3 linked regions of the Macaca mulatta genome follow. The protein of the gene in region 1 interacts with the protein of each later gene in a biochemical or structural test. Links are inferred from orthologs where the notes say so. Each region holds a gene or a part of one and is shown on either strand. Other genes may lie near its edges.

Region 1 (3,565 bases):
ATAAATATTTTACATTATCGCTTAAACATTTTAGTAACTTGATACTGAAATATTAATATTCTATGTTTGCTTTAGCTCTTTCTATGTATGTACATAATAGTTTGAGAAAAAACTGCATAATGCTCCTTTACCTCATATTTCTTAAAAACAATGGCATCTCTTATATAATCACAATATGATTCCAAGTGGCCATCTAATGTTCCTTATTGGAAAAGAAAAAAAAAATTTCCTGGTCCAGGATCCAATTCAGGATCATAGGATCACACACTGTGGTTAGCTGTAAAGCCTCCTTAGTCTCCATCAATCTGACACAATTCCTCAGTCTTGGTCTTTCTTGATCTTGATGTTTTTGAAGAGTATAAAATATTACGTCATAGAATATGCCTCAACCTGGGTTTGTGTGTTTCCTCACTCTCGGATGGCAGGTTACACATTTTTGGCAGGAATACCACAGATATAATGTGTGTCCTTCTCAGTCCATCATATCTGGGAGGTGATATTATATCTATTTGTCCCACTGGTAGTGATGCTAATTTTGATCACTTGTTTAAGGTTTTATCTGCTAGGTTTCTCCACTGTAAAATTATTACTTTTGCCTTTGTAACTGATAAGTATTTTGGTGGAGGACACTTTGAGACTATATAGATATCCCATTTTTCATCAAATGTTCACTAATTTTAGAATACACTGATGGTTTTTGCCTGAAACAATTATTACCATGCAGTTTTCAAAAGATTTTCTAATCATTTCTTCTACCTTGATTAGTAGACAGTCCAAAGTGTTCCCTTCTATCCACTTATTTACTCATATACAGATGCTCCTTGACTTATGATGGGAGTTACGTCCCAATAAACCCAAGTTGAAAATACTATAAATTGAAAATGCGTTTAATATACCTACCCTACTGAACATCATAGCTTAGCCTAGATTACCTTAAATGTGCTCAGAACACTTACTCTACAGTCAGACAAAATCATCCCACATACCTGTTTTATAATTAAGTGTTGCATTTTTCATGTAATTCATTGAGTCCTGTACTACAAGTGAAAAACAGAAAGGCCGTATGGGTACTTGAAGTATGGCTGCTACTGAATATGCATCACTTTTGCGCCTCTGTAAAGCTGAACCATTCTAAGTTGGGGGCCATCTGTGTTTATTTCATTATGGAGTCTAGGATTTTAATTTTACTCTATATATTATAATCTGTGATTATCATTTATCTTGATATTCAAATTATCTCAGACTTGGCCAGTGGGGGACCCCACAGCTTGGTTCCTTGCCTTTTTACACACCCTCATCACTCGTGGACTGCTCCCTTGTTTTTCTGGCAGCAAAAATGTTACAGGCTCATCTTGCACTTTTCCAGTCCTGGCCCCAGAATCAGCCATTTCTCTAAGGAGTCCTGAATCTTTCAATTAACGAATTATATTTAGAAGCCAAGACCTGGGCACCAGATATTCTCATGGCTTATTCAGGGTTATTTTTAGGTCTTCTTAGTGGATAGAGCAAATAAGCATACGTGTGTGTATATGTAAATACACATCTTTCTAGATCTACTCTATTACAATTCATGGGTTCATATTCATAGCTCTAATTATCTAATATCTCCAATCCAATTATCAGAGTTCATTTTATCCTCTCCCTTTTTCTGACAGTCAAACCTCACTCCCACTACTGTCATTACATTAGTTTATTTGCTCAACCCTAGAATATATATTAGTTTCAGAACTGTAAGACCATACACTCCACCCAACAAACCTACTGATTAGAATTTTATTTTGTTTACAGATCTTTCTGTCTTCAGCTTGTGTTAAAAGAATCTCTGGGATTAAGACTTCTCCCTTCTCCCCTCTTCAATGTAGTTATTCATTTGAAATGGTTGGACATCATATCCTATGTACAAAGGCCATTTTTATATCTTATTTTTGTGTGAACTATGTATTCTCATCTTTTGTCCATTTTTTTTTCCCTATTGGGTTTCTGGTCTCTATTCCCTGTTTTTATGAGTTCTTTATATATTGGGAATATTAGCCCTTTTCTTCTTGCAAATTTTTTCTGTCAGTTGTCTTTTGACATTGTTAATGGTGTTTTCTAATAGTTTTTGGAAAAGTTCTTTGGCCATAAAAAAAGTTTTTAAAAATTTTAAGTGGTTAGATTTATTGATTTTTTCTTTTCTTTTCTTTTTTTTTTTAAGAGCCAGGGTCTTGTTCTGTTGCCCAGGCTGGAGTTCAGTGGCATGATCATAGCTCGCTGCAGCCTCAAATTCCCAGGCTTAAGTGATCCTCTCAACTCAGCCTTCTTAGTAGCTAGGACTATAAGGGTGTGCTGCCATACCTGGCCCTTATCTCCTTATAATATATGCTGGAGGGTTAGGGTTAAACAAAGGTCTATCTCTAGCAAATGACCTTAAAATAACTTCTCCTCTTACATTCATGTTACCATTCCTATTTTCACTTTCTTTGTCTACCTTATTTACCTGTTTTATCTTGTATGCACTTTCCTGAGCCACCAAAAATTAATCATGTAGGTAAGCAAATTCATTACGTTAATAAAACTAATTAATGCTGTATCTATCCTACCACTCTTTCATACTGTCAAAGGCATATCTGATTAGCAGCTATATTCTGGGACTAGTCTGATGCTTACCTTTTCTGCTACTTCTCGCACAGACTGAACACTTGTTCCATATAGATGATTGTTATACTGGCCAGCTTCAATGAATTTATGTTCCTGGATATCTTTTTCCATCTGCTCTCTTGAAGTCACAAAATGATAATCTCTTCCGTCTACCTCATAATCTCGTTTTGGTCTAGTTGTATCTTTAACAGAAAAAAACTTGGGGAAGTGTTTAATATTAAAAAAAAAACCCACAATAAATCCATTTTCTACTTGTATCATTGTTTTGTAAAGTTCAACAGATTAATTTAAATCTGAGAAAGGACAACAATATGGAGGATGGAAGAGTAACTGATAAAATAGGTACAAACCGTTAAAAAATGGTTCTACCTATTTTTCCCACACACAGTGACAGGCATTGTTAAGAGTAACAATGAAATGTTTTTGTCTGGTTTACTCACGAGGGACACAGGATCCAAATTTGTCGGGAAATTCTGAGATCAAGTCGTCATTGATCCGGTCTTTCATGGGTCCCAGTATGATCACTGGCCGAGTGTAATTAACTATAAAGATAAACTGCACGTTAAAAGGAATAAACAGTCAACAAATATCAATGTATTTTATTTCACTACAGAACAAAAATATCCTTAACTGTTTTAAATATTTTTTTTCTTCTTTCTCCATCTCACTCTACCATCAACCAAAGATGCATAACTTGCTCTTTTATAATCTTGACTAAGATCTTAAACTCTACTCAGTCTTGTTAGAAGTCATATTGATAAATCAAGTTAAATTTGGTATGTTAGCAGATAATGTTTCTTTACATTGCAAATCAAAGCATAAAGTGTAGTGTTTTACAGATGGCTCTGAAGTAGAAATTGTAAGGAAGCAGAGCAAAGAAGGGCAGAAAAGAAATTGGATGTGGGAAGTGATATAATCCCAGTAGTAG
Region 2 (3,183 bases), on another chromosome or scaffold:
AAAATCAGGCTCTTGTTTTGGCAGTTGATAGCCAAATACTTGCCACTTTGAAGCGCATCATGAGCTTTCAATCAAGTTCAACACTGACTTTAAAATTACACAGAAGGAAAACTACACTGCAACAAAAATACACATTTGTGTTCATGTAGTTAGCAGCTTTTCAAAAATTAAGGCAGAGTCTTGCCTTTGTTATGCCATTAAAAACATCCTTGTTCCCTAAAGAGAAGCATTCTGGATAAATCAAATACCCAACCAAGGCTTGCCTGCAAGTTCAAGTTTTGGAAAAACACAAAACAAAACATAAAAACCCATAACTTATTCTACAACATCTATGTGCCATTGGGTCACAATGGAGGCATGGTTAGTGCTTTATGCTAATCATGGAGCTTACAGTCTTTCTTTGAAACCATTGTGCTTGCCTCAGTCCCTTGTGGCCGCTTGCTTGACCCATCTTGACCAGTACCGTCATCTGTATAACTGTTTTGGGCCTCTGACCAACAGACCGTGTTGTAAAGTAACTATTCCAGAGGAGGAATCAGTCAGTCATATCTCCGACTCTCGCCGTAAGGGCCTGGGCTCTAGAGGTACACTTGCCTGGTTGTGAAGGTCTATGTCAGGGGGCGTGTCCGTACTAGTGCTTTCTGGAACTCCGTTTTCACTGTCATCTTCCTCTTTGCTTGTGAGGGCAACTTCATTTTCATAGCAAAATGAATTCGCATTTGAGAGGATGTATTTCTTTTCTGCTAAGTCTCTTGCACTGCAAAGGGGAGTGTTGGGGACTTCGTAAGTTTTGTGGAACCTGGAATAGTCCACTTTGTAGTAGTGCTTCTCTTCAAAGAGCACAGGCTCATAGCGGTGGCCCCACAGGATTTCATTTGCTAGATAAGAGCTACGGCACTGTGTCGTCATGGCAGTGGCTTCCACCATGCCTTCCAGTATGACCACGATTTCAAAGTCTGCATTGTCAATGTCCTGTTTACTCAAATCATATAAAGGACTGTCTTCGTCTATTTCATGGACTATAGTGATTGGGGACACCAGAAATATACGATCGATTCCACTGTCAAACCCAACATTGATGTCTATTTGATCCAGAGGGATATACTCCCCTTCAGAAGTGATTCTGGATTTGAGGAGCTGTGCTCGGACATGAGCTTCCACCAAGTGGCTTTTCCGAAGATTGCCCACTCGCCACATCAAACACAGCTTGCCATCTCTCATGGCAATCACAGCATTGTGACTGAAGACGAGAGTCTCGTTTCTCTTCTTTGGCTTTGCCATCTTGGCCATGACTGCACCAATGATGAAAGCATCAATGATGCAGCCCACGATTGACTGGAACACCACCATGAAAACAGCAATTGGGCATTCATCCGTGACACACCTGAAACCATAGCCTATGGTTGTCTGGGTCTCAATGGAGAAGAGGAAGGCAGCCGTGAAGCTGTTGACTTCGGACACACAAGCTTTGCCCTCTTTGGATGCATCCAGGTCCCCATGGAGCAGAGCTATCAACCAAAACACACAGCCAAAAAACAGCCATGACAGGACGAAAGCCAGGCAGAAGATAACCAGCATCCACCGCCAGCGAATGTCCACACACGTGGTGAAGATGTCTGCGAGGTACCGTTGCCCCTTCTCACCCACATTGATGAACTGAACATTACAGTGACCATCTTTCTTCACAAAGCGGCTCCTGCACTGTTGTCGGGTGTGGACTTTACTCTTCCCGTTCCCAAAGCCATTTGCAACTGCCATGGTGGCCAACTTCATACCGTCTTCTTCTGAAGAGACAATGCTGTAGCGGTTGGTTCGCACACTGCCCATCGCTTCTGCTGGGGACTCCAGTGCCTCTGCTTTGGAAAACAGTCTGAGTTTTTGCAAAACGCTTTGGAGAAACAGTTTTGAATGTTCGGTGAAGACACACACACACAAAAAATGAGGAGAGATGGGTGTCTCTGGGAGCCTCAGGGTTCTACCAAGGTCTGTCTGCTGACATGCAGAGTTACTTTAATAACTCAGCTGACATCCAGAGAACATGTCCTGCAAGAAAAGAGAGATTGTGCATTACAAAATAAGCCACTCTTAAAGAATTCTACTGTCTAAGACAATACATCCTAACAAAAACACATAATCAGGTAAAGATAAGTATACTTCACATTAAATTATAAGGTTTTACATTTCTTTGTATCCTAAGCATGCTTTGTAAACCTTTTATTTAAAAGCATAAAGTCGTTAAACATAGGAGAGTTGTCTGTGACAGTTGTTCAACCAAAATGTCAGGTCAGGTCCCCTTTCCCTTATTTTTGGCCAGGGATCTAGAATATTCTATTTTTCAGGTCTACCTCTCCCTTCTCTTATTCTCTTCTTTGGCCTGCCCCACCTGCTACGATCCCTGTTAAGCAGATGAAAGACTGTCTGATCCCAAGGTTTGTCGTAAAATTTTTGGAAAGAGGACATGTTTAGAAATCTTCACGTGGACGCAGTATTGATATTCACTGAGTTGCATGTGCACTACGGGAGAATATGAGAGCCCCTGATGGCAAGGTTGAAATCGGAAGACAGACTATTTTGTTTAAATGATATAACTAGCAGACCAGATAGGCTGAGGAAATGCTAGAGGACGAAAGTCAGATTCCCACCTGCAAATATAATAGTGATATGGATTTTGAAGTAGGCTTGATTGAGTGTATCCTGAAAACAGAGGGAACTAGTGGACAAAACCTCCTACGATGGTGAATACTGCCCCTATTGCTTATAATCATCTGAAATGGATCCCAGTTTCTGGATACTGTTTGGGCTTGCTTCATCACTTCTCACACTTCAAGCAACCACTATGCAGAAATGCCTGCTAAGTCTCTATTAGTGCAGGTAATTCTGGCTTGAAGACTTTGAAGACGCAGGTTTGCTCTGGGGGATAGAGAGCAATTCTGTTGCCTAGCAATAAGAGTCCTGAAATTCTCCTGAGATGGGGCTGTCATGTGTAATGACAGGCTAGGAAGTAAGCACCATTGTGCGAAAGGACCAGGTCTTTAGCGGATTGAGATAAGGCAGGAACTCATTTCATGTCAGTCCAATGCTGTGTTCTCTCAGACAGAGACAACTGTGTAAGGACAGATCGTAAATGCTAGTCCGCTTACTTTCATTTCCAGCGCTGTTATTTGCTACAGGTTCCTATGGAGA
Region 3 (4,148 bases), on another chromosome or scaffold:
ACTACGGCAGAGCCCGGGAGGGTGGAGCCCAGCAGCGGAGAGGCTGGCGGGGCGGGGTCGCAGAGGCCGCGGAAAGCAGAGGGGCCGCGGGGTTGCGCAGTCGATCCCGCCCCGAGCCCCGGGGGAAGGGCTGAGACTGCGGGAGCCGATTCCCCGCTTTGGCAGCGACCCCAGGCTCAAAGCCGCGGGAGCAGGCAACCCGGTGCGCGCTAAATAACGACCTCACGGAGAAACAGTCCCTGAGCCCGTCAACATCGACCCCTAATCAGATTACTGAAAATAGGAAGGCCGGCTGCAGGAATAGTGACACTCTGGGCCCCCACGACGGGAGGCCGCGGCGGAAGCGGCGTGATTTTCGGGGTTGCACCTCAGCAAGATGGTGGCAGGGAGGATGGGACTCCCGAGGAGGAGCAAAGAAATGGATCCCCTCCCTCCAGAACACGGGCATTGATTCTGTCTTGGGGACCCTGCCCACTGGGGAAGGCCTCATTCCCTTACCGACCAGAATACAGGTAGGGAAGAGTCTAGCCAATGGGGTGCAGTCAGATCAATTAACACCTCAAAATGAAAATCGGTTCCTGTTGCTTCCTCAGCCCCGAGATGAGCTCTCCTCTAAGTGTTTTGCTTCCTTCTCCCCCAGTTTCTCAGCTGTAGCCTTTACCACTCCTCCAAGCCCTGGGGCTGAAGGCAGGTGTTTCCTCTCCCCCAGCCTGATTCCCACAGATCTGTCTGCTTCAGGGTTTAGGGCCCACCTTCCAGAACACGGCTTACCAAGCTGCCACCATCCTTCCTGCCCCTCCCGGAGTCTGCTCCCCAAGCCACCACCCTCAGCCAAGGAGGGTAACTCAGCTCATGGGCTAGGAGGCCTCTTTCCATCCCCTTCTTCCTAAACGCTCCTGGCCCAGCCCCTCCTCACCCCCAGGCTCCTTTCCTGGGCCTGGCCCAGCCTGGAATAAGCTTGGTCTCCTTCCTCCAGGTAGAGGGCCCAGAGTGAAGGGGGCACAGGAGGGCCTCCAATGAGAAGCCCTGGAGAAAGGGCAGCTTGGGGAGGGGCTTAAGGAGCAGGGCGAGGGTCTCTAGACTCCCTGCCAGACTCCTCACCCAGAGGAGGGAGCACTACAGAATGGGATTTTGTTTCCCTTCCCTCCCCAACTCCTTTCCCCTCCCCACAGGGGCCTCAGTTGAATGCCGGCCTATTGCTTCATCTGACATTCCCCCTGCCCGGCCAGCAGGCGCCGGCATCATGTCTGCAAGTTATTGTAAGTCCGGCAGGAATGCCCAGGAGGGAGGTGCCTCTGGCCAGCAGAGTGCCCACTCCCCTCCCAAGATGTGGCTGGCCACTCCTGCACCCTCCACACCCAGTTGGAGAAGAGCGGCGGGTACCCTCAGGGAGGTGGAGGAGTGTATGAGGCCAGACTTGACTCGGGGAAGGATGCCAGCAGCCCCCTCTACCAAGAGCGAACCAAGTACGTAAGAGAAAGAGAGAAAGGAGAGCAGGAAGGACAATCCCATTCTTAATTCCTAGCTCTTCAGCAAACCAAGGAAATGACCCAAGATGCTCAGGGACCCTTCCACAGATGCCTGTGGCCCACCCCGTCTGCCAAACACTCACCAGCCCCACAGTCTCCAGCCTTGAAATCGGAAACTTTTCAATTCACCCTTCTCCTTCCTCCCCTTTGGGACCAGAGATGTGTGGGGCGGTGCCCTCGGAGACACTCATACAGTTGGTTCTGGACGCTCACACACTCTCAAACAACAGCGGTACGAGGGAACTCCCAGCTTTTTCCACAGCTAATTATAGATGTGAAAGTCTGAGGATGTTTTGCAAGCAACACAGAGAAACTGCTTAGGTTTCTCTGCAAAGCTAAAGAAATTTAATTTGTGCACTCTCCTTCCCCTACTCCTCCCAACTTCTCCCAGCCCACCTCTACCCCATGGCCCCAAAGTGCCCCTCTCCTAGTTCCCGCTGCAGCCCCCCTTTCCTGCTGAAGATTTCTTTAGTTCCTTTTTTTTTTTTTCCCATCTCTTTTGGGCTTTTGAGAAAGGGAACAGACACGGAAAATATTTTTGCAACAGTTTTCCATCCTGCGTCTCATTCCCAAGCCAAGGGGGAAGGGGAGGGCAGGAATGGAATGGGTTGAGGGAGGGGAGATAAATGTTTTTTCCAAGAGTTCAATTTTGGTGTCAAAAAGAGAGTCCCTCCATTCCCCTACCCCATAGCACAGGAATGACAAGAACTAAAAAAAGAGAGATAAATCACTTATTTGACTATACAGTTTCTCAGAAAACAGTATTTGACAAATCTGTGCACACACACATATTTTTAAAAATCCTCCAAACCCAGTCGCATGAAATATGCTAGAAAGAGGAAAATCGGGGAGTTTTAGAAGCCACTGAGAGAAAAGAAAGAAACAAAGTTTGCAAATCACAAGTCAATTCATTCTCTGCAAGCCTACCTCTCTTTCTAGCAAAGATCCAGGTTTCTCCAAGTGGGACTCTCCCTCCGGGTTTCCATGGATGGGGGTAGGGTGGGGTGACCACCCACCAGTCTCCCCAGTGTGGCAACCAAGCTGGAGACGCTGGCTTTGCTCTCTTGCCTTTCCGGCTAAGGCCGGGGAGTGGGCTGGGTCTCCTCCCCCTGCCCTTCCAATGGGAAGGACCTCTCAGGTTCCTGAAAGAAAAAGGGTGCAGGAGAGCTGGACGGGTGTCTCTGATCTTGCTCTCTTCAGAGGGATGGTTGCCCAGGAAGTTCGTGCCCCCCTCCCAGCCCCCAGCGTTGGACAATCTCAACAGCAGAGCTTTCTTAAGAAAATGCTTGTCATGGCAACAGCTCTAGCTAACTCGGGCCAGACTCCTGCTCACCAGCTCTCCCCAAGCAGTGCGGGAAGAGAGAGGGGAGGAGCAGGAGCTGGAACAGAGGTGGGACTTGGCATGAGGCCAAACCATTACTCTACTGTTAAGGTGGCCCGATTCCTGCGGTTGCTTCCTGGTTCGTCTTAAGGGGGAATGGGGAAAGAAAGGGAAGGAATCCTCTCCCCTGTCGGCTTTCTTCTCCACCCTTGCTCTCACTTGTTGAATAGAAAGCTGAGTGGGGTGGAGGAGGGGTGAGGGTGGAGGTGGGGAGTGGATGTGGGTGGCGGTATTCAACGGTTGCTGGGCGGAGGGGAAAAAAAAGGAAGCTTCGGCAGGCGGTTGGCTTCCTGCAGCTCCCATGGGCCTCTCAACCCCTTACTCACTTAGATCCAGGACCCAGAAACCCAAGGTGTCTGTGGACACTTGTATGTCCCCTCCCACCTTCCTGCTCCTGTCTGAATAGGGGGTTCCTTGGAGAAGGAGAATAAATTGTTTTGTAAACACACACACACACACACACACACACACACACACACACACCTCCTCCCCAACACCTTATATACAGGTCACATTTTGTTCCCTCTTGCCCCTGTACCCACCAGAGGTATACTGACAGTGCATGAAAATAGCTGCCTACTTTTGAGTCCTGCTATGCGTAGGCTATGACACCAAAAGCTTTGTCTATACGATATCATTTCTAGTCCTTATGGCAATTTTGAAAGGTACTTGTTATTAGCCTCATTTCCTAGCTGAGGAAATTGAAGATTGAGTGTCTGGCCCAAGGTTATACATCTGGTTCATGACAGAGCCAACAATTCAAGGCCAAGTCAGACGGACTCCAAAGCCCAAGTACTTTCCTGTACTTGTATCATACTCCGGCACACATTTCTGTTTTAATTTGGACACACTCAGACATCCCTGCACACTTATACACAGCCTGTAAACTGTTAATCACACCCCCATACCCACACACCCACTAGCATTGTGCAACAGTGCCACCCATAGATTTTGCATAGAACTTTATGGCTTTCAAGCACAAACATGCACCATCAGCTAGTTCACACAACAACATATCTTCATTGACTGACAGATTCCCACACCTACCTCAGCAAACACACTCATGTTTATATGCTTGTGGAAGGCGTGTTGACATATATCTCACAGGTTATAGCTATGAGCTATGCTGTGAAGAAGGTGACTGGCCACTACTTCCCAACCTTTTAAACAGAGGGTTGGGAAAAGGCCTCTTTGATCCTATCATTCTAACCCAACACCTCACACCACCCCTGTCCTTC

Evidence for each region.
Region 2: the proteins of DLG1 (region 1) and KCNJ2 form a complex in vitro, tested with the Homo sapiens proteins (2 studies listed by BioGRID and IntAct, with this or other methods). The link is inferred for Macaca mulatta from reciprocal best matches to the Homo sapiens genes DLG1 and KCNJ2.
Region 3: the proteins of DLG1 (region 1) and ATP2B4 form a complex in vitro, tested with the Homo sapiens proteins (2 studies listed by BioGRID and IntAct, with this or other methods). The link is inferred for Macaca mulatta from reciprocal best matches to the Homo sapiens genes DLG1 and ATP2B4.

The regions. Positions count from the first base shown.
Region 1 is NC_133407.1:2,616,615-2,620,179, forward strand, and holds part of DLG1 (disks large homolog 1), read right to left. Parts: intron 3,180-3,565; coding exon 3,078-3,179; intron 2,820-3,077; coding exon 2,647-2,819; intron 1-2,646. UniProt on the Homo sapiens protein: Essential multidomain scaffolding protein required for normal development. Recruits channels, receptors and signaling molecules to discrete plasma membrane domains in polarized cells.
Region 2 is NC_133421.1:79,799,619-79,802,801, reverse strand, and holds KCNJ2 (inward rectifier potassium channel 2), read right to left. Parts: upstream 1,828-3,183; coding exon 544-1,827; downstream 1-543.
Region 3 is NC_133406.1:61,366,410-61,370,557, reverse strand, and holds the start of ATP2B4 (plasma membrane calcium-transporting ATPase 4), read right to left. Parts: upstream 2,844-4,148; 5' UTR 2,457-2,843; intron 1,798-2,456; exon of another isoform or gene 1,613-1,797; intron 1-1,612. UniProt on the Homo sapiens protein: Calcium/calmodulin-regulated and magnesium-dependent enzyme that catalyzes the hydrolysis of ATP coupled with the transport of calcium out of the cell. By regulating sperm cell calcium homeostasis, may play a role in sperm motility.